Linked DNA regions of Macaca fascicularis. The protein of the gene in region 3 binds, or shares a complex with, the protein of the main gene of each other region. Links are inferred from orthologs where the notes say so. Each region holds a gene or a part of one and is shown on either strand. Other genes may lie near its edges.

Region 1 (7,385 bases), on a different chromosome or scaffold from region 3:
ACCTTAAGTTAAAAAACAGTTACATATTTCCTTTCAATATATACTATATCAACTGGAAACTTAAACAGTTTTCAAAATCACTTTAAGAAAATGACCATTAAAAATGGAAACATTTGGATTTACATTATGCAAGATTGTCAAGAATAGATCCAAACTGGAAAGAAAGAAGTAAAACTATCTCTATTCACAGACGGCATAAACCTATATGTGGAAAATCCTAAGGAATTTACAAGGAAGCCACTAGAGCTAATAAATTCAGCAAAGATGTAGGTTATAAGATCAATACACAAAAATCAATTGTATTTCTATACATCAGCAATGACAGTTCAAAAAAAATTTTAAATCACTTTCATTTACAATAGCATATAGCTATTGTAGCATACAATAGACAAGTAACATGCCAAGGGATAAATTTAACCCAAGAAGTGAAAGGCTTATACATTAAGAATTGTAAAACATTGCTGAAAGAAATTGAAGAATACCTAAATAAATGAGGAGACATTATTTTGCATGGATAGGAAGACTTGATATTGGCAAGATGTCAATACTACCCAAAGCAATCTACAGATCCAATGCAGCTCTTGCCAAATGTCCAACAAGCTTTTTTTGCAGAAATGGAAAGCCAATCCTCAAATTCATATGAAATTGCAAGGGGTTCTGAGGAGCCAAAACAATCATGAAAAAGAACAAAGTTGGAGGACTGACTTGTACTCTCAATTTCAAAACCTTCTACAAAGCTACAGTAGTCAGCACAGTGTGGTAATGACATCTTTATGCCAGACATGTAGACCAATAGAATAGACCTGAGTCCAGTGCTCTCTTCGGCAGCACATATACCAAAACTGGAATGATACAGAGAGGTTATTAGCATGGCCCTGTGCAAGGATGATGCACAATTTATGAAGCATTTCATATTTTTAAAAAAGAATGAGAATCCAGGAATAAACCCAGTCATCTATGGTCAACAAATTTTTGACAATGGTACCAAGTCCATTCATGGAGAAAGAACAGTCTCTTCAACAGATGGTACTAGGACAACTGGATTTCCACATGCAAATGAATAAAGTTGGACCCCTATACCACATCATATACAAAAATGAACTCACAATGGACCAATGACCTAAATATAAGAGCTAAAACAATAAACATCTTAAAAGAGGCCAGGTGCAGTGACTCACACCTGTAATCTCAACACTTTTGGAGGCCAAGGTAGGAAGATCACTTGAGACCGGGAGTTCAAGACCAGACTGGGCAACATAGGGAGACCCTATCTCTACAAAAAATTTTAAAAATTAGCTGGGTGTGGTAGTGTGCTCCTGTGGTCCCAGCTACTTGGGAGGCTGGTGCACAAGAATCACTTGAACCCAGGAGGCAGAGGTTGAAGTGAGCCAAGATTGCGCCACTGGACTCCAGCATGGGCAACAAAGACTCAAATGACTCAAAAAAAAAAAAAAAAAAAAAAAGGAAAGAAAAAAGAAAAAAAATCTTAAAAGAAAACATAAAACATAGGGGAAAATTTTCATGACCTTGGATTTGGATTTCACAATGGATTCTTAGACATGACACCAAAAGCACAAGAAATAAAAGAAAAAAATAAATAAATTGGATTTCATCAAATGAAAAATGTTTATACATTAAAGGACATTATCAAGCAAGTAAAAAGACAACCTACAAAATGGAAGACAATATTTGCAAATCATATATCTAATAAGGGTTTAATATCTAGAAATATGAAGAACTTTAACTCAACAAAAAGACAACCCAGTTTAAAAACCGGCAAAGGACTTGAATTTGAATAGACATTTCTTCAAAGAAGGTATACAAATGGCCAACAAGCTCATGGAAAGATGCTCAACATTAGTCATTAGGGAAATGCTGATCAAAACCACCGTGAGAAACCACTTTGTGTTATCTAGCAGGATGGCTACCAAAAAAAAAAGACAGGCCAGGCGTGGCAGCTCACGCCTGTAATCCTAGCACTTTGGGAGGCCAAGGCAGGTGGATCACATGAGGTCAGGAGTTCAAGACCAGCCTGGCCAACATGGAGAAACGTCGTCTCTACCAAAAATACAAAAATTAGCCAGGCGTGGTGGCGCACACCTGTAATCCAAGCTACTCGGGAGGCTGAGGCAGGAGAATTGCTTGAACCTGGGAGGCGGAGGTTGCAGTGAGCCCAGATTGCGCCACTGCATTCCAGCCTGGGCGACAGAGTGAGACTCCTCTGTCTCAAATAATAATCATAATAATAAATAAACACAGCAAGAAAATAAGTAATCAATAATTATACATATCTAAAATGTATATAAAATACCTTATAGAAATGTTTATTTAAAAACGGTTCTCAATATTTGCAGTATTTCAAAGGACACAATGTCTTAAACATGAAAACTATAGACAATTTATAGACAATTTTTTTGGGGGGCATGGAGTCTCGCTCTGTCGCCCAGGCTGGAGTGCAGTGGCACAATCTTGGCTCTCCGCAACCTCTGCCTCCCAGGTTCAAGTGATTCTCCTGCCTCAGTCTCCTGAGTAGCTGGGATTACAGGCACGCACCACCACGCCTGGCCAATTTTTGTACTTTTAGTAGAGACGGGGTTTCACCATGTTGATCAGGCTGATCTCAAACTCCTGACCTTGGGATCCGCCCGCCTTGGCCTCCCAAAGTGCTGGGATTACAGGTGTGAGCCACCGTGCCTGGTGACAATATTTTTAAGTGTGAATAAAAATATTTCTTACCAAAGGATCTGCTGGTTTTTGCTTACAAAGCTCTGTGAGTCCTTCAAGCAAAGTTGGCATTATATGTAAATTTAAATAGTCCTTAGCAGCTTGTCCAATTGGAATGGGCTCAACGATCACTGCAAATACAAACGTATTCTCATTGAAGCAAACATAATGATTAAATACTATACAATCATTAAAAAGGCTCTTTTTAAAGAACATTTCTCTTTTTCATATATATTTTTTGAGATGGAGTCTCGCTCTGTTGCCCAGGCTGGAGTGCAGTGATGCAATCTCAGATCACTGCAAACTCCTCCTGGGTTCAAGCGATTCTCCCACCTCAGCCTTCCGAGCAGCTGGGACTACAGGTCTGCGTCACCACACCCTGCTAACTTTTGTATTTTTATTTTATTTTATTTTATTTATTTATTTATTTATTTTTAATTTTTTGAGACAGAGTCTCGCTCTGTTGTCCAGGCTGGAATGCAGTGGCATGATCTCAGCTCACTGCAACCTCTGCCTCCTAAGTTCAAGTGATTCTCCTGCCTCAGCCTCCTAAGTAGCTAGGATTACAGGCGTGTGCCACTATGCCTGGCTAATTTTTGTACATTGAGTAGAGACAGGGTTTTACCATGTTGCCCAGGTTGGTCTAGAACTCCTGACTTAAGGTAAACCGCCCACCTCAGCCTCCCAAAGTGCTAGGATTGCAGGCATGGGACACCGTGCTAGGCCCTAATTTCTGTATTTTTAGTAGAGACAGGGTTTCACCATGTTGGCCAGGTTGGTCTTGAAATCCTGACGTCAAATGATCTGCCTGTCTCAGCCTCCCGAAGTGCTAAGATTACAGGCATAAGCTACTGCAACCAGCCTGTTTTCTGTTTCTTTTCTTTTTTTCTTTGACACAGTTTCACTCTTGTCACCCAGGCTGGAGTGCAGTGGCACGATCTCAGTTCATTGCAACCCCATCTCCCGGGCTCCAGCAATTCTCCTGCCTCAGCCTCCTGAGTAGAACCAGCCTCGGTTTTCAGTTGGGATGTTTCTCTTATTATTTAGACATAGGAGTTCTTTATATATTCTAGTTACAAGTTCTTTATTTCTTTATGTGGTATATTATTTGCCAATATTTTTTCCCAGTCTGTTGCCTACCTATCTTTTCATATTTATAAAAATTTAACTTTTTTTTTTTTTTTTTTTTTTAGACACAGGGTCTTGTTCTGTTGCCCAGTCTGGAGTGTGGTGGTATGAGCACAGCTCACTGCAGCCTCGAACTCCTGGGCTGAAGCATCCTCTGGCCTCAGCCTTCCAAGTAGCTGGGCCTGCAAGTGTGTGCCATCACACCCAGCTTTTTTTTCCTTTAAGTTTTCAGAGACAGGGTGTCACTCACTATGTCCCTCAGGCTGGTCTCAAACTCCCGGCCTCAAGCAATCCTTCCACCTCAGCCTCCTGAATAGCTGGATTTACAGGTGCAAACCACTGCTCCCAGCTCCTCAAATTCTTTTTTTTTTTTTTTGAGACAGAGTCTTGCTCTGTCGCCAGGCTGTAGTGCAGTGGCATGATCTCAGCTCACTGCAAGCTCTGCCTCCCGGGTTCACGCCATTCTCCTGCCTCAGTCTCCCGAGCAGCTGGGATTACAGGTGCCTACCACCATGCCCGACTAATTTTTTGTATTTTTAGTAAAGACGGGGTTTCACCGTGCTAACCAGGATGGTCTCGATCTTCTGACCTCGTGATCCGCCCACCTCAGTCTCCCAAAGTGCTGGGATTACAGGCGTGAGCCACCGTGCCCGGCAATTTTTTGTATTTTTTAGTTACAGACTGGGTTTCACTGTGTTAGCCAGGATGGTCTTGATCTCCTGACCTCATGATCCGCCCGCCTCAGCCTCCCAAAGTCCTGGGATTACAGGCATTAGCCATCATGCCTGGCCTCTTTTCATATTCTTAATGATGTCTTTTGAAGCACAAAAGTTTTTAATTTGATTTAGTCCAATTTATCAATATTTTCTTTTATGGATCTTGCTTTTGATGTCATTTTAAGAACTCTTTGTCCAACTCCAGTTACAAAGATTTTCTCCGGTTTTCTTTTAGATGTTTTTACACTGAAGTCTGTGAGCCATTTTGAGTTAATTTTTGTGTAGGCTATGAAACAAGGGTCTAAGTTCTTCTTGTTTTTATGTGACTATCATGCTGTCCTACATCCTAGCACCATATACAGATTTTCCTCAACTTACATGGGTTACATCCCAATAAATCCATCATAAGTTGAAAATATCATTAAGTCAAAAACACATTTAATACACCTAGCCTATTGAACATCATAGCATAGCATAGCCTACCTTAAATGTGCTCAGAACACTTACATTAGCCTACAGTTGGGCAAAGTCATCTAATACAAAGCAAATTTTATATAAATAACACTTTCTTTTTTTTTTTTTTTGAGATGGAGTCTTGCTCTGTCAGCCAGGCTGGAGTGCAGTGGCACCGTCTCAGCTCACTACAAGCTCTGCCTCCCAGGTTCACACCATTCTCCCGCCTCAGCCTCCTGAGTAGCTGGGACTACAGGCGCCTGCCACCGCGCCCGGCTAATTTTTTGTATTTTTAGTAGAGACAGGGTTTCACCGTGGTCTCGATCTCCTGACCTTGTGATCCGCCCGCCTCGGCCTCCCGAAGTGCTGGGATTACAGGCGTAAGCCACCGCGCCCGGCCCTGAGCCACTGCGCCCGGCCCAACATTTTCTATATAATATACATATATTATGAGCTGGGCACAGTGGTTCACACCTGTAGTCCTAGCTCCTTGGGAGGCTGAGGCAGGAGGAGTACCTGAAGCCATGAGTTTGAGACCACCTGGGCAACAAAGCAAAACTCTGTCTCTTAAAAAAAATATGTATATATGGCCGGGCGCGGTGGCTCAAGCCTGTAATCCCAGCACTTTGGGAGGCCGAGACGGGCGGATCACGAGGTCAGGAGATCGAGACCATCCTGGCTGACACAGTGAAACCCCGTCTCTACTAAAAAATACAAAAAAACTAGCCGGGCGAGGTGGCGGGCGCCTGTAGTCCCAGCTACTCGGGAGGCTGAGGCAGGAGAATGGCGTGAACCCGGGAGGCGGAGCTTGCAGTGAGCCAAGATCACGCCACTGCACTCCAGCCTGGGCGACAGAGCGAGACTCTGTCTCAAAAAAAAAAAAAAAAAAATATATATATATATATATATCTCTCTTAAGCAATCCTTCCACCTCAGCCTCCTGAATACTGAATAGCTGGATTTACAGGTGCATATGTAAATTAAAATATATATATATATTTATTTATATTCAGTGTTTTTCAGATGCATATATAAAGATATATACAAAAATATATATATATTTTTATCTTTTTGGGGGGAGGATCTCTTGAGGCCAAGAGTTCAATACCAGCCTGGGCAATATGGCGAGACCTCCTTTCTACAACAAAAAAATTCAAAAAGTAGCCAGGCACAGTGGTCTATGCCTGTAGTCTCGGCTACTCAGGAGGCTGAAGTGGGAGAATGCTTGAGCCCACGAGTTCAGGCTGCAGTGGGCACCACTGCACTTCAGCCTGGGTGACAGAGAGAGACCCTGTCTCAAAAAAAAAAAAAAAAAAAACAAAAATAGAATGGTTGTATGGATATTCACCATTAATGTACACAGCTGAAAGCACCATAGTAAAGTCAAAAAGCTGTAACTTGAACCATGGTAAGTTGGGGACTGTATTGGCAAGACCATCCTTTTCTCACGGAATTGTCTAGGCACCTTTGTTGAAAGTGAATTGACCATAAGTGTAAAAGTTTATTTCTAGATTCTCAATTCTGTTCCAATAATCTTTTTTTTTTTTTTTTTTTTTTTTTTGAGACGGAGTCTCACTCTGTCGCCCAGGCTGGAGTGCAGTGGCCGGATCTCAGCTCACTGCAAGCTCCGCCTCCCGGGTTCACGCCATTCTCCTGCCTCAGCCTCCCGAGTAGCTGGGACTACAGGCGCCCGCCACCTTGCCCGGCTAGTATTTTGTACTTTTTAGTAGAGACGGGGTTTCACTGTGTTAGCCAGGATGGTCTCGATCTCCCGACCTCGTGATCCGCCCGTCTCGGCCTCCCAAAGTGCTGGGATTACAGGCTTGAGCCACCGCGCCCGGCCCCAATAATCTATATATGTATCTTTATGTCACTGCCACACTGCCTTATAATTGTGGCTTTGTAGTAAGTTTCAAAATCAGATAGTGGAAGTCTTCCAACTTTGTTCTTCTTTTCCAAAATTGAGTTCTTTGCAATTTTACTAAATTTTAAACTCAGTTTGTCAATTTCTACATAAAAGTATGCAGGGACTTTGATGAGGATTACATTAAAATTTTCTTTAATTTTTTTTTTTTTTTTCTTGTACAGATGAGGTCTCACTTCATTGCCCAGACTGGTCTCCTACTCCTAGACTCAAGCAATCCTCCTGTCTCAGCCTCCCAAAGTGTTGAGATTACAGGCATAGCCACTGCATCCAACCCAAAACTGTTCATTAATTTAGAAAGAATTGCCATCTTAACAATACTGAGTCTTCCAATCCATGAATATGGAATATCTATTTATTTAGATATTTTAAAATTTCTCTCAGCAATGTTTTTTGTTTTCAGTGTACAAGAATTCCACTTTCGTTAAATTTATGCCTAA
Region 2 (8,139 bases), on a different chromosome or scaffold from region 3:
TTCCCACCAAATTACGGTGGCCTCTGATGAACACTTTTCCATTCAGCAATAGATATGGTTGACCACTCAGATCTCACCAAAACACTCGTTCCCTTTGCCTTCTGTGACAGCATACTCTCTGCATTTTCCTCTTACCTGGAGGTATGGCATCTTTTGTATCAGCAACAGCAGTGTAGAAAGGAATGTGTATGTATGTATGTATACAAGAATGCAGTCAGGAAAACTCATGGCTGCTGCTTCTCCAGCAAAGAAGACACACACATCCATAAAGATGAAGATATTAGGAAGCCATATCTAAGTAACTGGAGATGAGAAGTTTATCAACATTTGGGCTGTGCCACGCTGAGGTTGGCATCGTTAATTCCAGTCCCCTCTGAACTATCCTACTTGCCTCACCTGCTGAAGTAAGAGCTCCTCTGCTTTGAGTCTTTCCATCATTTCCTGCTCCATCAGAGCTAATTCTCTTTCATGCTCCAGCTCGGCCATTTCCTTTTGTCTCTAGCATTGTTTAAAAACAACAGCACATGACTTCTTAGAGAGAAAGCAATTTGTAAAAGCAATCTTCAAAGCATTTAATAGAGACAATTAGGGAAAGGGTTAAACAAATTATAGCCCATCCCTTTAGAAACAATATAATAATTTGGGAAGATATTTTATCTGAATAATGAGCACAATATTAAAGTTATACATTGTGTATGATCACAAATGCATAAACAAATCTATAAATCTATAGAAAAAATACTTCCCATGAAAGGAATTACCTAAAAATCTAAATAGAAGTCTTCTTTGGGTACTGTTTTCTCCTTCCTACTTTCCATGTTGTTCAAGTTTTTGTATAATAAACATTATTTTTATAACAGAAAAATAATAATATTAAAGTTTTTAAAAAGCAGGCAAGTTCGACCAATTTTTTTTCTTCTAATTTTCTAGAAGGAGATTCCTACTTACCAGTTGTTCCATGGTCACATTGTCCTTAAACTTGTAAATCCACAATGCTAAATATTCTATTGGATCCACTGGGCGAACTCTTGCCACTTCTGCAAGACCTTGAGTTAAACATGCCCCAAGGTGCTTTTGAAGATATATTGACTCCGTTTCTAACTCCTAAATAAAAACTCCTAAAAAGTAAGTGTTTTTGCATTACTGCAGGATATCTTCAATAAAGTCACTATAAGACTCAAGTCCAGTGATTTGAACAAAGCCTTACATACACCCTGCCCTCAGTCATGTCCACCTCCTCTTGGGGGTGTCACAAGCAAGCTGGCCCCAGGAAACTTCTAATAGTTTTAGTTTCCAAAAGGACTCCACAGAAGTCACTACAACTAACACGGTTTCAAAAGTCCTGGAGGACCTCAAGTCCAAGAGTCAGAAAAGAGATATTATCATCATTGATTTCAAGTTTACTTAATGCCAAGTTATGTGGGTCTCATTTAATTCTCACAACATACCTGAAAAATAGGTATCATGATCCCAATGGGAACATGAGCAAGCCCAGGCACAGACAGCATAAGTGCATAGTTCAGGATAACACAGCTGGCAGATGAAGGAGGCAGGGTTTGTACCCACCTCCTGATTCCAAAACCCTAACCCTAAAGACTACACTAAAATGTCCCTCCTAAGCCATGAGAGCCATTTTTACAAAGCATCACAATAGTCCACCTTTTGAAAAAAAAAATCCATAAATTTCCAAGGCCAAAGAATGAAAACTCAGCCTCCAAATAATAACATATGAAGCTCCTCACAATCTGGCCCCAATTTTCTTTTCAGGTTCACCTCCAGACATCATCTCTCTTGGCCCCAGCACACCCTGGGCTCTAACTCCATGGACATCCTGCCATTCCGATGACCACCCCTTGCACATTTCCATCTCCATGACTCTTGTACATGATGATCCCTCATTCTCCTCTCTCTCTCTCAAAAGATCTCCTCCCCTGCAAGGTAGAGAATCATTTCTTATTCCCTGAGCTTTCCCAGGCAACCCAAAGAAGTTCCTCTTGCTCCAAGCAGCTTACATAGCATTTACCACACTATCATAGAGAATTACACTATCTCTGTGTGTGTGTGTCTGTCTTCCCACTAGAAGACAAACTCCTCTAGCTGCTTGAAGAGTGTTTTAATCACAGGGCTGACACAGCTGTTTCTCCATGGTGGCAAGGGAATGAATTTCTCCACTCTCCCAGTTATGTCCTACTCCTTCCAGTTATGAAGATAAACAGGAATAATCATAGACCAGATTGTTTTTAAAACAGAAAAGGAAAAACGCAGCAACCAATCTCTTTCAGGTGCTTTGGAAAAATTGATCACCCTCAGATTACCCTTAATATTTTAAGAAATTCAGACTCTCCTGATAGTCTGATGAAATGTAATCAATTGTTCAACAAATGTATAATGAATATTTGCTGGGTGCAATGGCTCACACCTGTAATCCTAGCACTTTGGGAGGCTGAGGTTGGAGGATCGCCTGAGGTCAGGAGTTCGAGACCAGCCTGGCCATAGTGGTGAATGCTGTCTCTACTAAAAATACAAAATTATCCAGGTATGGTGGCACATGCCTGTAATCCCAGCTACCAGGAAGGCTGAGGCAGAAGAATCACTTGAACCCGGGAGGCAGAGGTTGCAGTGAGCTGAGATTGTGCCATTGCACTCCAGCCTGGGCAACAAGAGTGAAACTTCATCTCAAACAAACAAACAAACAAAAATACCTGTTGTAGGTCAGGCACCATGATAGGTACTGGGAATACAAAACTATTGTGGCTTGAATGTCTGTGTCCCCAAAAATCTGTATGTTGAAATCCTAACTCCCAATGTGATGGTATTAGGAGCCTTTGGGAAGTGATTAGATCATTAGTGTGGAGCCCTCATGCATGGGATTAATGCCCTTATAAAAAGAGACGGGAGAGCTTGCTCTCACTCTCTGCCATCTGAGAATAAAACTAGAAGACAGCCACCTGCACACCAGGCAGAGGGTCCTCACCAGACACCAGAAATGCCAATGCCTTGATTTTGGACTTTCCAGCCTCCAGAATGATGAGAAATAAATGTGTACTGTTTTTAAGCCACCCAGTGTTGGTAATTTGCTATAGCAGCCCAAACTAAAACAAAAACAGTCTCTGCCTTCATGGAGCTTACAGATGAGAAGGGAAGATAAATATTTAAATCAATAAATATGAAATTGAAGTTAAAATAAGTACTATGAGACCAGAGGAGAGGAGGAGCTGATCAAGTCAGGAAAGTAAAAAAAAAAAAAAAAGCTTCTCTGGGGGTGACATTTGAGCTAAGCTCACATTTACCCAAAAAGAAAAAAAAAAAAAAACAGTAAAATTAACATGACAAAGAAGAGAAGGAAGAGTCTTCTAGGTATGAGGAAAGGCCCTGATATAAGAATGAGCATGGCAATTATAGGGGATAGAATGCCACTGTGTCTAAACCTGTCCCTGGACAAATGCACCTAGCATTTTGCATAAAAGTTCAGAGACACTGACATCTGGGGGTCCGTCCATAACCCCCAATTTTTATTCTATGGAAAAATTCAGTGTCTCTGAAATTTTATGCATAACCATGCGCATATGCCATATGACAGTGGTGGGAAGGCAAAATGGTGTAACTCCTATGGAGGAGAATTTGACAACATCTAGAAAATCACATATGCATTCACCCTTTGACTCATCAATCTTGCTTCTTGGATCCTATCTCAAAGATATAGTTGCAAAAATATGAAATGGCATATGCACACAGGTATTTGCAGCATTATTTACAATAGTCACACTGAAGCACCATCTAAATGTTCATCAAATTGGGGATTAATAAGAGCAACACAATGGATTATTATGCAGATGTACAAGAGAATGAAGAAACTAAAGAGTGATCTCTAAGACACAAAATAAAGAAAACAAGGTGCTGAAATTGTATATGATCCGTCATCTTTTGCATTAGCAACAGCAGTGAGGAAAGGAATATGTGTATATATAAACATAGTCATAAAAACTCTAAAAACTGAAAGCAAACTGGCACTAATGAACCTAATTCCAAATCAGGTTGATATTGGTGTCTTAACCACACAGAGAAAAGAATTATTACAAATGACTTTGGAACACAGTATCTTCACTGTATTTCTTCAGTAGGATGTATCTGAAAGACCAAAACGCTACAAAGACATGTCAAAGTCATTTGAAGTAAAAAAAAAAAAAAAAAGGGAACAGACTCCTATTACTGCTCCAGAAAGATAAAATGTGGGAAGGTAGGAAGGGGGCCATTATCCCCAAAGAGAAAACTTCTGGCCTACCAGTGGGGCCAAGTCAGGGGAGGCTCTGTCTCGGATTTCTGGGCATATCAGTGGGACCCAGGCAAGGCCTGCCAACTCCCTTAGCATATTCCTGTCCGTGAAACGAGGATAATACCCATCTCTCCTGTGGTAACCAATGTTATTTTTCATATACACCAATAGGCATCTTGGCTCAACATAAGAAAGCCGTTTCCCACAGAAACAGCTGCCTACAGCCTGAAGAAGGTGCCACAGAGATGGAAGGAGGTTCCTTACCCACACCTGGGAGACAGCCAGCCGACTGGGCAGGGGCACCCGGGCAGGGGTGCCAGACTTCTCAACTAAAAACCCAGCTCGCCCAGGTGACTCTGAATTTCAGATAAACAACGAATAACTTTGCGTGATACTATATTTGTACTGAAAAGTAACTCGTTTATCTGAAATTCAGTTACCTGCGCATGCAGTACAGTATTGCATCTGGCAACCTCCCGGGGCGCTCGATGTGGTTTTCCCACCCGGGAGTCTGGAAGAGTCTCCCGCAGCCCGCAGGAGACAGAGACGCAGCGCTCCCTGCTCAGGACGAGCAGGAGAAGGAGAGCCGGCTGCTCTCGGGAGCCCCAGGCGCGAAGCGGCCTCCTTCCGCCTCAGGTGAGTCCTGCTCGACGCCCAAGGCCCAACGGTCAGAACCGCCTCTGCCCGCCGGACCCAGCGAAGCTAGAGGAACTAATCTCAAAAACAGTTCGGGCCTTCCCGGTGCGCACACCCGACACACGCGCACGCTAGCCACCCGGGAGCCGCGTCCCGTTGCCAGGCAACGAGAGCGCGCGCCTCAGGAGCCCGTGTAGGTGAGCAGAGGGCGCGCAGTGGGCGGTGGAGGGGGAACGCGCAGCAGAAAGGGGGGGCCGTGGGGGGTCGCGCTGCAGGGAGGAGGGGGCGTGCAGGAGCAGTAGCGCACCGCTGAGTAGAGGGGCCGCGGCCGAATGGAGGGGGCGTGCAGGGGTAGGAGCGCGCGGCAGAGTAGAGGGGGCGCGGCAGAGTGGAGCGGACACGGTAGAGAGGAGGAGGCGTGCAGGAGCGGGGCGCGCGACATAGAGAAGGGGTCGTGCAGAAGGGGGCGCGCGCAAGGGGAGGGGGCCAGAGAGGAGCGGGCGTTCAGGGGGCGGGCGTGCGGCAGAGAGGAGGTGGTGTGCAGGAGGGAGAGCGCGCACGAGGTGGCGGAGAGGGAATGCGAGAAGGGGAGCGCGGCAGAGAGAAGCGGGCGCGCTCCAAGGGGCGGGGGCCGGGAAGGAGGGGGCGCGTAGGAGCGGGGCGCCAAGCAGAGAGGAGCGGGCACGCTGGAGCGGGGTGTGCGCACGAAGGGTCGAGGAAAGGCATATGTGGCGGCGCGCAGGTGGGTGAGCTGAGGAGACTTGCTGCACAGAAACCTGGAGGAGTGGGGGGACCGAAAAGAGCAAGGGACCCTGGCTGGCAGGCAGGCATGCTCTGGGAGAGATGAGGGGGTGGCGCGCTTTGAGGAGGAACCAGGAAGGGCAGCCAATCGGAGAAGGGCGGAAGACCTAGAGTCGTTGGAAGACCGTCACTGCAAGCTGCTAATAGCCTGGCAGTTTCACAACTCCGCACCTTTGCTCTTGCTGGTGACCTCTGCTTGGTTCCTTTCAGAACCAACTCGGGTGCCTTACCTCCAGGAAGCCGTCCGGTCTCCACCAGGCCCAAGCCCTTGCAGTCCTCCTCGGCCTAGTCGTCTGTGCATGTACTAGCCTTTCCCGTGTTCTCTTTCAGCTTATGGGCGGGGCAGTGCCGGGCAAGAGAGGCCTTAGTAGATGTTAGTTGAGATAGTAAGTGCCAGAGTGGGCAAGGAAAAATCAAAGGGAAGCATGAGCACAGGCGTCAGAGCTCTCAATGAATAAATCAAGAAATATTTACTGAGCTCCTAGTGTGCCAAGCATGGGCGGTATACAGCAAACAAAGACAACCCCTATTCTTATTTTGCCTATTGAGTGCAGGCCAGGAACAATGTAAGCAGACCGTCAGGCGAGTTCTGGGAAACACCGAAAAATAGCCTCTCCCCCAATTGGTGAGTGTACCCTAAATTGGTCTGAGTGGGCCTTAAAAGGCATCTCCTTGGCCAGGCGCGGTGGCTCACGCCTGTAATCCTAGCACTTTGGGAGGCCGAGGTGGGTGGATCACCTGAGGTCAGGAATTGGAGAGCAGCCTGGCCAACATGAAGAAACCCTGTCTCTACTAAAAATACAAAAAGCCGGGCGTAATCCCAGCTCCTCGGGAGGCTGAGACAGCGGAATCGCTTGAACCAAGGAGGCAGAGATTGCAGAGAGTCGAGATTGCGCCACTGCACTCCAGCCTGGGTGACAGAGCGAGGCTCTGTCTCAAAAATAAAAAATAAAAGGCATCCCCTTGACTTCTTCCCCTCCAGGCCTCACGCTGTGACTCTATGCTGGCTCTACTGTCTTTGTACCACATCTCAGTGACTGTTGCGGAAACACATTTCATTCAGATCATTGTTGAAAATGGGCAATTTAGAGTAGGTGGAGGTATGCCAATATGGCTTGCCACATGTAAGGAGTGTGGCAGCCACCCAATGACCAGAGAATGCAGAATTGGTGATTCTGCCTTCTGGGAAGGACAGTTCTACAGTGATCCAGGCAAAGTAGATTGGTAACTACAAGTTGCTTGGAGATTTTATTAACATACAGGTTCTGAATCTGTGGGGTGGGGTAGGACCTGAGATTCTGCATCTCGACAAGTCCCCAGGTGATGAAATGCTGCTGGTCATCTGTCATCAAACCAGCTTTGAGTAAGAAGGGTGTAGAAGGTTGTTTATCCAAATGCATTGGTTCAAGTGGGCCACACAGATTGGCAGGAGACACCGATTGGCAGGAGACACTACCCACCTCTGTCCCCACCCTATCACTACCCCACTAAAATTTTTTTTTTTTAATTCCCTTGCAGGTCTTGGGGTCAGAAGTCCAAAATGAATTTAGTAGAGCTAAAAGCAAAGTGTCAGCAGCACAGGTTCCTCAGGAGGCTCTGGGGAGAATCCATTTTCTTGCCTTTTCCAGCTTCTAGAGGATACCCTTGGCTCAAGGACCTGGATCACATCGCTTTTTCTCCCTCGGCTCTGGCATCACCTTCCCTGTCTGACCGTACTGTGTCCCTCTTACAGTGACATCTGTGATTACATTGTTCCTACTCAGATAATCCAGGATCATCTCCCTATCTCAAGATCCTTAATTTAATCACAGTTACAAAGTCCCTTTTGCCATTTAAGGTGACATATTCATAGGTTCCAGGTATTCAGACATGGACACATTTGGGAGCCATTATTCAGCCCTAGAACAAGGACATTCTCTTACTCATACTTCCAGTATTCAAAATCAAGAAATTTAACTTGGATATATTATATCACATAATCTACATTTCACATTCAATTCATCCAATTTTCCCAACGATATCCTTTATAGAATTCTTTTTTCTTCTCTCTTTTTGGTTTAGACAGGGTCTCACTCTGTCACCCAGGTTGGAGTGCAGTGGTGAGATCTCAACTCATTGCAGCCACAACCTCCTGGGCTCAAGTGATCCTCCCACCGTAAGACCCCGTGCACCTCCCCACCCCCTGCCGCCAAGTAGCTGGGACTACAGGTGTGTGCCATCCCACCTGGCTAATTTTTGTATTTTTTGTGGAATACAAAAGCATGGGCAACATGGTTTTGCCATGTTGCCCAGGCTGGTCTCAAACCCCTGAGCTCAAGTGATCCTCCTGCCTCAGCCTCCCAAAGTGCTGGGTTTACAGGCATGCACCACCATGCCCAGCTGAATTATTTTTTCCTGCCCAGGCCCAATCTAGGATCATGTGTTACATG
Region 3 (7,864 bases):
TTCCACCTTCTTCAGCAGGTTTTGGGCCTAGACCCCCAGGGCACAGTGGATTGATTGAGAAGGAGCAGGGACAGGGAAGAAAGAGAAGTCAGAATGAGATAATGCAAAAGAGGAAATCCAAGACGTTGAGAGGGAGGAGTGGAAGAAGGGAGTGGGGATGAGTAGAGATCAGTATAGAAAGTAAAGAAGTTGGCTGGGCGCGGTGGCTCAAGCCTGTAATCCCAGCACTTTGGGAGGCCGAGACGGGCGGATCACGAGGTCAGGAGATCGAGACCATCCTGGCTAACACGGTGAAACACCGTCTCTACTAAAAAAATACAAAAAGCTAGCCGGGCGAGGTGGCGGGCGCCTGTAGTCCCAGCTACTCGGGAGGCTGAGGCAGGAGAATGGCGGGAACCCGGGAGGCGGAGCTTGCAGTGAGCTGAGATCCGGCCACTGCACTCCAACCTGGGTGACAGAGCGAGACTCAGTCTCAAAAAAAAAAAAAAAAAAAAAAAGAAGTTCAGGAGAAGCTGCCATCCCAGAGAAAGGTCAGCAGTAACCCGCTACCACTCACCCCCCAAAGCCACTTGGGATGGAGGAGATGCTTCAGCCCACTCCCCATATGGCCCAGGAGCCCCCATGCCACCACTGAGGATTGCCATCAGCACCATCCCAGAATAACGAAGCTTAAGAGTCTAAAAGACAGGCCGGGCGCGGTGGCTCAAGCCTGTAATCCCAGCACTTTGGGAGGCCTAGACGGGTGGATCACGAGGTCAGAAGACCGAGACCATCCTGGCGAACACGGTGAAACCCCGTCTCTACTGAAAAATACAAAAACTAGCCGGGCGAGATGGCGGGCGCCTACAGTCCCAGTTACTTGGGAGGCTGAGGCAGGAGAATGGCGTAAACCCGGGAGGCGGAGCTTGCAGTGAGCTGAGATCCGGCCACTGCACTCCAGCCCGGGCGACAGAGCGAGACTCCATCTCAAAAAAAAAAAAAAAAAAAAAAAAAAAGAGTCTAAAAGACTAAATATTTCAGTGGCTTCCTGTGGTGTTAATTTTTTTTTTTTTGAGACGGAGTCTCGCTCTGTCACCCAGGCTGGAGTGCAGTGGCCGGATCTCAGCTCACTGCAAGCTCCGCCTCCCGGGTTCCCGCCATTCTCCTGCCTCAGCCTCCCGAGTAGCTGGGACTACAGGCGCCCGCCACCTCGCCCGGCTAGCTTTTTGTATTTTTTAGTAGAGACGGGGTTTCACCGTGTTAGCCAGGATGGTCTCGATCTCCTGACCTTGTGATCTGCCCGTCTCGGCCTCCCAAAGTGCTGGGATTACAGGCTTGAGCCACCGCGCCCGGCCCTGTGGTGTTATTATATATAACGATTTTCATCCACAGTCCCTAGCTTATAACTCCCATAATAGCCCTTGTTGCAGTCTTTTGTTATAAAGTTGGGTGTGCTGGGTCTCAGGGGCAGGTCTCAGGAACCTTCTCCTGCTGTCTTTTCACCTGCCCCAAGGGAAGGCTCTAATCTTTCCCCGCTTCTCCCTCTTTCTGGTTGTGTGTTTTTTGTTTGTTTGTTTGTTTGTTTGTTTGTTTTTGAGACGGAGTCTTGCTCTGTTGCCCAGGCTGGAGTGCAGTGGTGCCATCTCAGCTCACTGCAAGTTCTACCTCCCGGGTTCACGCCTCTCTCCTGCTTCAGCCTCCTGAGTAGCTGGGACTATAGGTGCCCACCACCACACCTGGCTAATTTTTTTGGTATTTTTAGTAGAGATGGGGTTTCACCGTGTTAGCCAGGATGGTCTCAATCTCCTGACCTTGTGATCCGCCCGCCTCAGCCTCCCAAAGTGCTGGGATTACAGGCATGAGTCACCGCACCCGGCCTCTTTTTTTTTTTTTTTTGAGATGGAGTCTTGCTCTGTCTCCCAGGCTGGATTGCAGTGGTGTCATTTCAGCTCACTGCAAACTCTGCCTCCTGGGTTCAAGCGATTCTGCTGCCTCAGCCTCCCGAGTAGCTGGGATTACAGGCACATGTCAGCATGTGTGGCTAATTTTTGTATTTTTCGTAGAGACAGGGTTTCACCATGTTGGCCAGGCTGGTTTTGAACTCCTGACCTCGTGATCCGCCCGCCTCAGCCTCCCAAAGTGCTGGGATTACAGACGTGAGCCACCGTGCCCAGCCTGATTGTGGTTCTTAAGACCCTCCCCAGAGACAGCCTCCCCAATTCCCTGGGGGAGGGAATACTAATATTTGAAGCTTCCATGGAAACCCAAGAGGACTGGGTCCAGAGAGCTTCTGGGTAGCTGAACACATGAAGGCTTTTGGAGGGTGATGCACCCAGGAAGGACATGGAGCACTGCACCTATTCCCCCAGACTTTGCCCTATGCATCTCTTCATCTGTGTCCTTTGCCCTTGCAATAAACTGATAAAAAGTCACTCCAGAAAATTAATTAAATCCAAAGAAGAGGTCATGGGAACCAGCTTCATGTTGAAGCTGATGTGTCAGAAGTTCCGGAGGTTTGGACTTGCAACTGGTGTCTGCGGACGGTGTGGGGGTCACTCTTGGGAACTGAGCCCTCAATCTGTGGGATCTGATGCTATCCCCAGGTAGATAGTGTCGGAATCGAATTAGAGATCACCCAGCTGGTATCTACTACTTGGTGTATGGGGAGAAACCCCACATCCTGGGCCCCGGAAGTCTTAGGTTGATTATTGCTGTGGTGGCTAGGGCAAGAGCTGAAGAAAAACCCAATCTGAGAGGAGAGTTTTCCTAAAACATTTCCACAGCCTGATGTTTGTACCTCAATTATGGTCCATTTTGCTGCTACCTGTATCAAAGTAAATTATCTCTGTATTATCCACATATTATATATTATCAGCCCTGCTAGGTGGCTCTGTATCTCCACAGTATCTGGAACCAACTATGGGCTTGATAATACCAGTTACTATCATAATGAAGAAGTTAGTAGCTGAGCCTACTAGAAAACAGGCATCCTGACCCCCAGGACAGTGCCCTCTTCCCTGCACCACCCTATGACCCAGTGAGTTACCAGGTAGAGGTTCTTCAGCTTAGGAAGATTGATCCCCACCGTGCTTCCCAGCTGATTCCCCCGAAGCTCCACTGTGTGCAGGCTGATCAGCTTCTGGGGGTCCAGACCTGTCACCATGTGGATTCTGTTTCCTGGGGAGGAGGGTTTCAAGAGCTCAAAGGGCCACTCCAAATGTTCAGCATTAGAGCCTGAATTTGGGAAGCCTCTAAATCACCCTATCCTGGACATTCACAAAGCAGGGTAGTAGTGAGGAAGGACAGCTCCAGACTTAATACCTCCAGAGCCCTGGGGCAAGTGGTGTGGTAGTCCAAGGTCCTGATGGACATATCCACCTAAGCCTTTGAAGAGTGAACGAAGCAGCTGACATGTCTAATTCCCTCTCCTTCTTCAACTCTTTGCTCAAATGTCATCTTCTCAGTGATGGTTGTCCTAACCAATCCATTTAACATTGCCACCTATGTCCCCCATTCCTCTTACTCTGATCTATTTCTTCCAAGGCACTTGTCTCCTTTTAACATGCTACATGAATTTACGTATTGTGTTTGTTTTACTTGTACGTCTCTCCCAACTAGAAATATAAGCTATATGAGAATAGGGACATTTCTTGTCTTATTCGCTCCTATATGGTTAACATGTAGAACTGTCATAATGAATCACATTGCGTATCTGAATGAATGAATGCAGACTGCCATGTGCCATAGCCAAGGACCATACTGCCCACTTCTGTTGGCCTCAGGCTAGGAAGGAAAGAATCTTGTGTAGCCCATCCTAAGACCCACCTTGGCCGGGCGCAGTGGCTCAAGCCTGTAATCCCAGCACTTTGGGAGGCCGAGATGGGCGGATCACGAGGTCAGGAGATTGAGACCATCCTGGCTAACACGGTGAAACCCTGTCTCTACTAAAAAATACAAAAAAACTAGCCGGACGAGGTGGCAGGCGCCTGTAGTCCCAGCTACTCGGGAGGCTGAAGCAGGAGAATGGTGTGAACCCGGGAGGCGGAGCTTGCAGTGAGCCGAGATCCGGCCACCGCACTCCAGCCTGGGCGACAGAGCGAGACTCCGTCTCAAAAAAAAAAAAAAAAGACCCACCTTTGAGATTCAGGGTTTCAAGACGAGGATGAGAGATGCCTTCAGTGTCAGTAATCTGGTTATAAGCAAAACTAGCAATCTGCAGGTAGGGCAGTTCATTCAGCTGGGCACTTCGCAGCCGGTTGCCATCAGCCTTGAGCCAGAGCAGGTGGGTGAGGTAGTTGAGTGGCGACAGGTCTGTCAGGTGATTCTCAGAAACATCCACATAGCGCAGATGGATGTAGGAGCGCAGCAAGTAGATGTCTGTCAGGTCCCTAGGAGATGGAAGAGGGAGAAGGAACCAGGTTTAGGGTTAAGAACCCAGCGAGGACTGGCAGAGTTGCTAAAGCAGAAGGCTTATAATGAGGAGAAGAATGGGCAACAGATGGTAGGCGAGAAGAAGGGTAAGAGAAGGTAGGTGGGTTCTTAACAGTGGGCAGAAAGACCTGTGTCTGTGAAGGACAGAGAACCCATACTCTGAAAGACAAATGAGGGAATCCAGCAGGAATCCCCCCATATACTCTCAGTCTCCAATTCCCCAGGTCAGCTTTGATAGAAGTCTCAGCGCTCCTGAAAAGTAAATTTTGTCCTTCCCTTTCCACTAGGCATGAGAAGGGTCAAACTCTCAGCCAGAACACCCAGGAATGACAGTGGGAAAGGAGACAGGGGCCCTACAATCTCACAGTCCTCATCTGGTCCCCCCACAACGCACCTCTCTTTAACCTCCAGCTTGACATAAGCATGAGCCAGCCCACTGCCTGTCTTACAGAGCAGAGAAAGCCCTTCCTTCATCATGTCCTCCGTGAGGGGCGTGGGCAGCCACTGCAGGTGGAAGTGGAATAAGGCGTCCCTCCCCTGCCCAACCCCGCCCCTCAGCCCTAGGACCCCTCTTTGTCCAGGCTCTCACTTCCTCAGGGAACTCTTCCCCCTCTTTTCTGTAGTCCTCCCCCTCCTCTGTCTCCTTCTCGTCCTCTTCTTTCTCAAAATCATCCTGGTCTGGCTCAAAGTCTTCTAGATCATCTTCATCTGACATCTTTCTTCCCTCCTGAAAGCTCTGAAGTCAGATAAGCTCAGTCCTCCTCCTGAGAAAGAAGGTCTCCTCAGCTTCTGCCAGCCTTCAGCTCCTTCATCGTCATTGACACGTGCCACTCCCATCACCCGCATCACTTCTGACCCACCAACTCTAGGCTTCTTTCCTCATCCCTGTGAACATCTCATTTTGACTCTCAACCCCCACTTCACACTTTCCACTGAGGACCCCCTCCCTTCAGGATGTCACCCACACCCCCAGGCCTTTCCTGTCCTTCGCAGTGGCTTCAGCTCTCCTCCAGCAGCCCAGTGTCCCTATTTCCTGGGCTTCCCTCTCCCCCATTCTTCCCACCTCCCCCTTAAGCCATGCTCTCCACTCTTCCCTACCAAGTCCTCCTCCTCCTCCTCTCCTCTTAGCTCCCACTGCGCCATCCCTAATCCCCGCTCCATTCATTTCTTCTACTTTTCCCTCCCCACTGGACCAATTTCCTTGGGCCCTCTGGTACACCAGCCTAAAGCGCAGTCTCCAGTCCTCCCACTCAATTCGCCTTAGCAAAGGGGCTCAGACCCTGTTTCTGCTAAATCAGAAGCAGTTCTGGAGAGGCCCTTGGTCCCGAGAGGGAAGGACTGTTTAGCAAGCGGGCGAGGGGAAGGAGGGGTTGTGTACTGCTGTTATGGCAACGGGGGCGGGGCACTTGGCTACTGAAACTCGCCACCGTTGAGCGCAGAGCGGCGACTACCTGATGCGCAAATCAGCTGGGGAGGGGATTGATCAGTAGTTGCCTGGTTACCAGGCCAATTTCCCAGTCCCGGGAACCCGGATGAGGCGCGGAAAGGGCGTCGGGCCGCTAATTGGTTGAGGACAAAAAAAAAAAAAAAAATGGCCAGGGCTGAGAAGAGAGAAGAGAGAGGGCGGGGCTAGTCATTACGTCACCCAAGACCTTAAAGGGACCCCCGACATCTTCAATGCAAAAGTATTGTGAATTCAGGAAAAACTCACCCTTCGAAGCAAAAAGGGCGGGGCTGCGAGGAAAAGCAAGAAACACCAAGATAAGGGGTCTTTTCCCCTTCCCCCTGTAGTTTCTGCTCATTAGTTATTTTCAGGTAGACCTTTGAAAGGTGGCTTGGTAGAGCGGAAGGAGCCCAGACACAGGTATCTTAAGAACTGGGTTGGAGTCTTGGCAGATCTGCATTTACTAGCTAAACGTACCCAAGACTCTTTCTTATCTGTAGATCAGCTTAACTATATCAACTGGCAGGGATCCAGTATGAGTTATCCTGGACTGGTTTGATGCAAACCTTTTAGTGGGTGGAAGGCAGAAAATTCAACATCTGCCCACTGAAATACTCCTGATCCAACGTTGTTATATCAGTAATCAACAGGAACTGGCATAGCCAAAAACCCAGGCACTCAGGCCTGTCTGACGTGTTGAAGAAGTTGAAAAAGATGTTGAGATGCAATAAATATTTCTGAAGAGTTTGTGCGAGACATTATGTCAAACGTCTTTACAACTGGTATTTAATCTCTGCAACAGTCCTGTAAGACAGACATTTGAAAGAAGAGGATACTGAGGCTCAGGGAGGTTAAGATGACACAATTCCTGCCTGGGGAAAGGGGGATGTTACCAATCTTGTTGTGGAATCTAATGTAAATGAAACAATCAGGTAACCAGGTAAGATGGTATGTGATTCATTGTTAAATTGTGCCTACAGACTTTATATAACATCAAAGTGGTCTGATGGAAGATGTGGTGGACAAGAAATCAGAAAGTATTACATTACCTCCTGCCCAGGGCAGCTTGGAGGAATATAGTTAATAGGCAGATCTGTTTACTTGGTGTCATGGAACCAGTAGGGACTTTAAAGTCAGAGACACCAGCTTCAAAACCCATCTCTACCACTTAATACCTGTGTGTTCTTCAGCAGGTTATGAAATCTTACTAAGATCTAATTTCCACACTTGTGAAATGGGAATTAAAATGTCCACCTGTAAGGATTGTTAAGGGATTAAAACAGATAATGCGGGTAAATCGCCTTGCACTTAGTTGACCCTTAGTAAACATTTTCCTGCTCCTCCCCACCCTTGGCCTGTGTCCTTGGTACAGGGGTTGCTGTGAGGAAAAAGAAATAATAAATATGAAAGCACTCTGAAGAGTTAGATGTGCTATACAAATGAAAGTTATTGTATTGTCGGAGTGTGGAGAACGGAAAAATCCATGTGGTTTGAGGTAGTCGAAAGAAATGGATATGATTTTCCTTGGCCAAGAAGAAAGAGGAAGACACATTAGATGGGAAGAAAAGTTGTGATGTAAGGGTTAGGAATGTGTCCTTGAACACACACTTTTTTTTTTTTGAGATGGAGTCTTGCTGTGTTGCCCAGGCTGGAGTCCAGTGGCGGGATCTCGGCTCACTGCAAGCTCTGCCTCCTAGGTTCACACCATTCTCCTGCCTCAGCCTCCGGAGTAGCTGAGACTACAGGCGCCCGCCACCAGGCCCGGCTAATTTTTTTGTATTTTTAGTAGAGACAGGGTTTCACCGTGTTAGCCAGGATGGTCTTGATCTCCTGACCTTGTGATCCACCCGCCTTGGCCTCCCAAAGTGCTGAGATTACAGGCGTGAGCCACCGCACCCAGCTAGACTTTTGTTATTTTGTTTTTATTTTTGTTTTGAAATAGAGTTTCCCTCTGTCACCCAGGATGGAGTGCAGTGGAGCAATCATAGCTTACTGCAACCTGTGCGTCCT

What was found.
Region 1: LRRC23 (region 3) and NME5 share a complex: the UniProt entries of both Homo sapiens proteins name them as parts of the axonemal radial spoke complex. The link is inferred for Macaca fascicularis from reciprocal best matches to the Homo sapiens genes LRRC23 and NME5.
Region 2: LRRC23 (region 3) and DYDC1 share a complex: the UniProt entries of both Homo sapiens proteins name them as parts of the axonemal radial spoke complex. The link is inferred for Macaca fascicularis from reciprocal best matches to the Homo sapiens genes LRRC23 and DYDC1.

What each region holds. Positions count from the first base shown.
Region 1 is NC_088380.1:144,601,603-144,608,987, forward strand, and holds part of NME5 (nucleoside diphosphate kinase homolog 5), read right to left. Parts: intron 2,856-7,385; coding exon 2,737-2,855; intron 920-2,736; exon of another isoform or gene 813-919; intron 658-812; exon of another isoform or gene 483-657; intron 1-482. UniProt on the Homo sapiens protein: Functions as part of axonemal radial spoke complexes that play an important part in the motility of sperm and cilia. Does not seem to have nucleoside diphosphate kinase (NDPK) activity.
Region 2 is NC_088383.1:66,448,599-66,456,737, reverse strand, and holds the start of DYDC1 (DPY30 domain-containing protein 1), read right to left. Parts: upstream 5,051-8,139; 5' UTR 4,714-5,050; intron 1,119-4,713; 5' UTR 961-1,118; coding exon 949-960; intron 499-948; coding exon 397-498; intron 1-396. UniProt on the Homo sapiens protein: Functions as part of axonemal radial spoke complexes that play an important part in the motility of sperm and cilia. Plays a crucial role during acrosome biogenesis.
Region 3 is NC_088385.1:7,839,526-7,847,389, reverse strand, and holds the start of LRRC23 (leucine-rich repeat-containing protein 23), read right to left. Parts: upstream 5,269-7,864; 5' UTR 5,126-5,268; coding exon 5,000-5,125; intron 4,915-4,999; coding exon 4,805-4,914; intron 4,368-4,804; coding exon 4,114-4,367; intron 3,157-4,113; coding exon 3,026-3,156; intron 28-3,025; coding exon 1-27. UniProt on the Homo sapiens protein: Essential for sperm motility and male fertility. Plays an important role in the proper assembly of the third radial spoke (RS3) head and the bridge structure between RS2 and RS3 in the sperm flagella.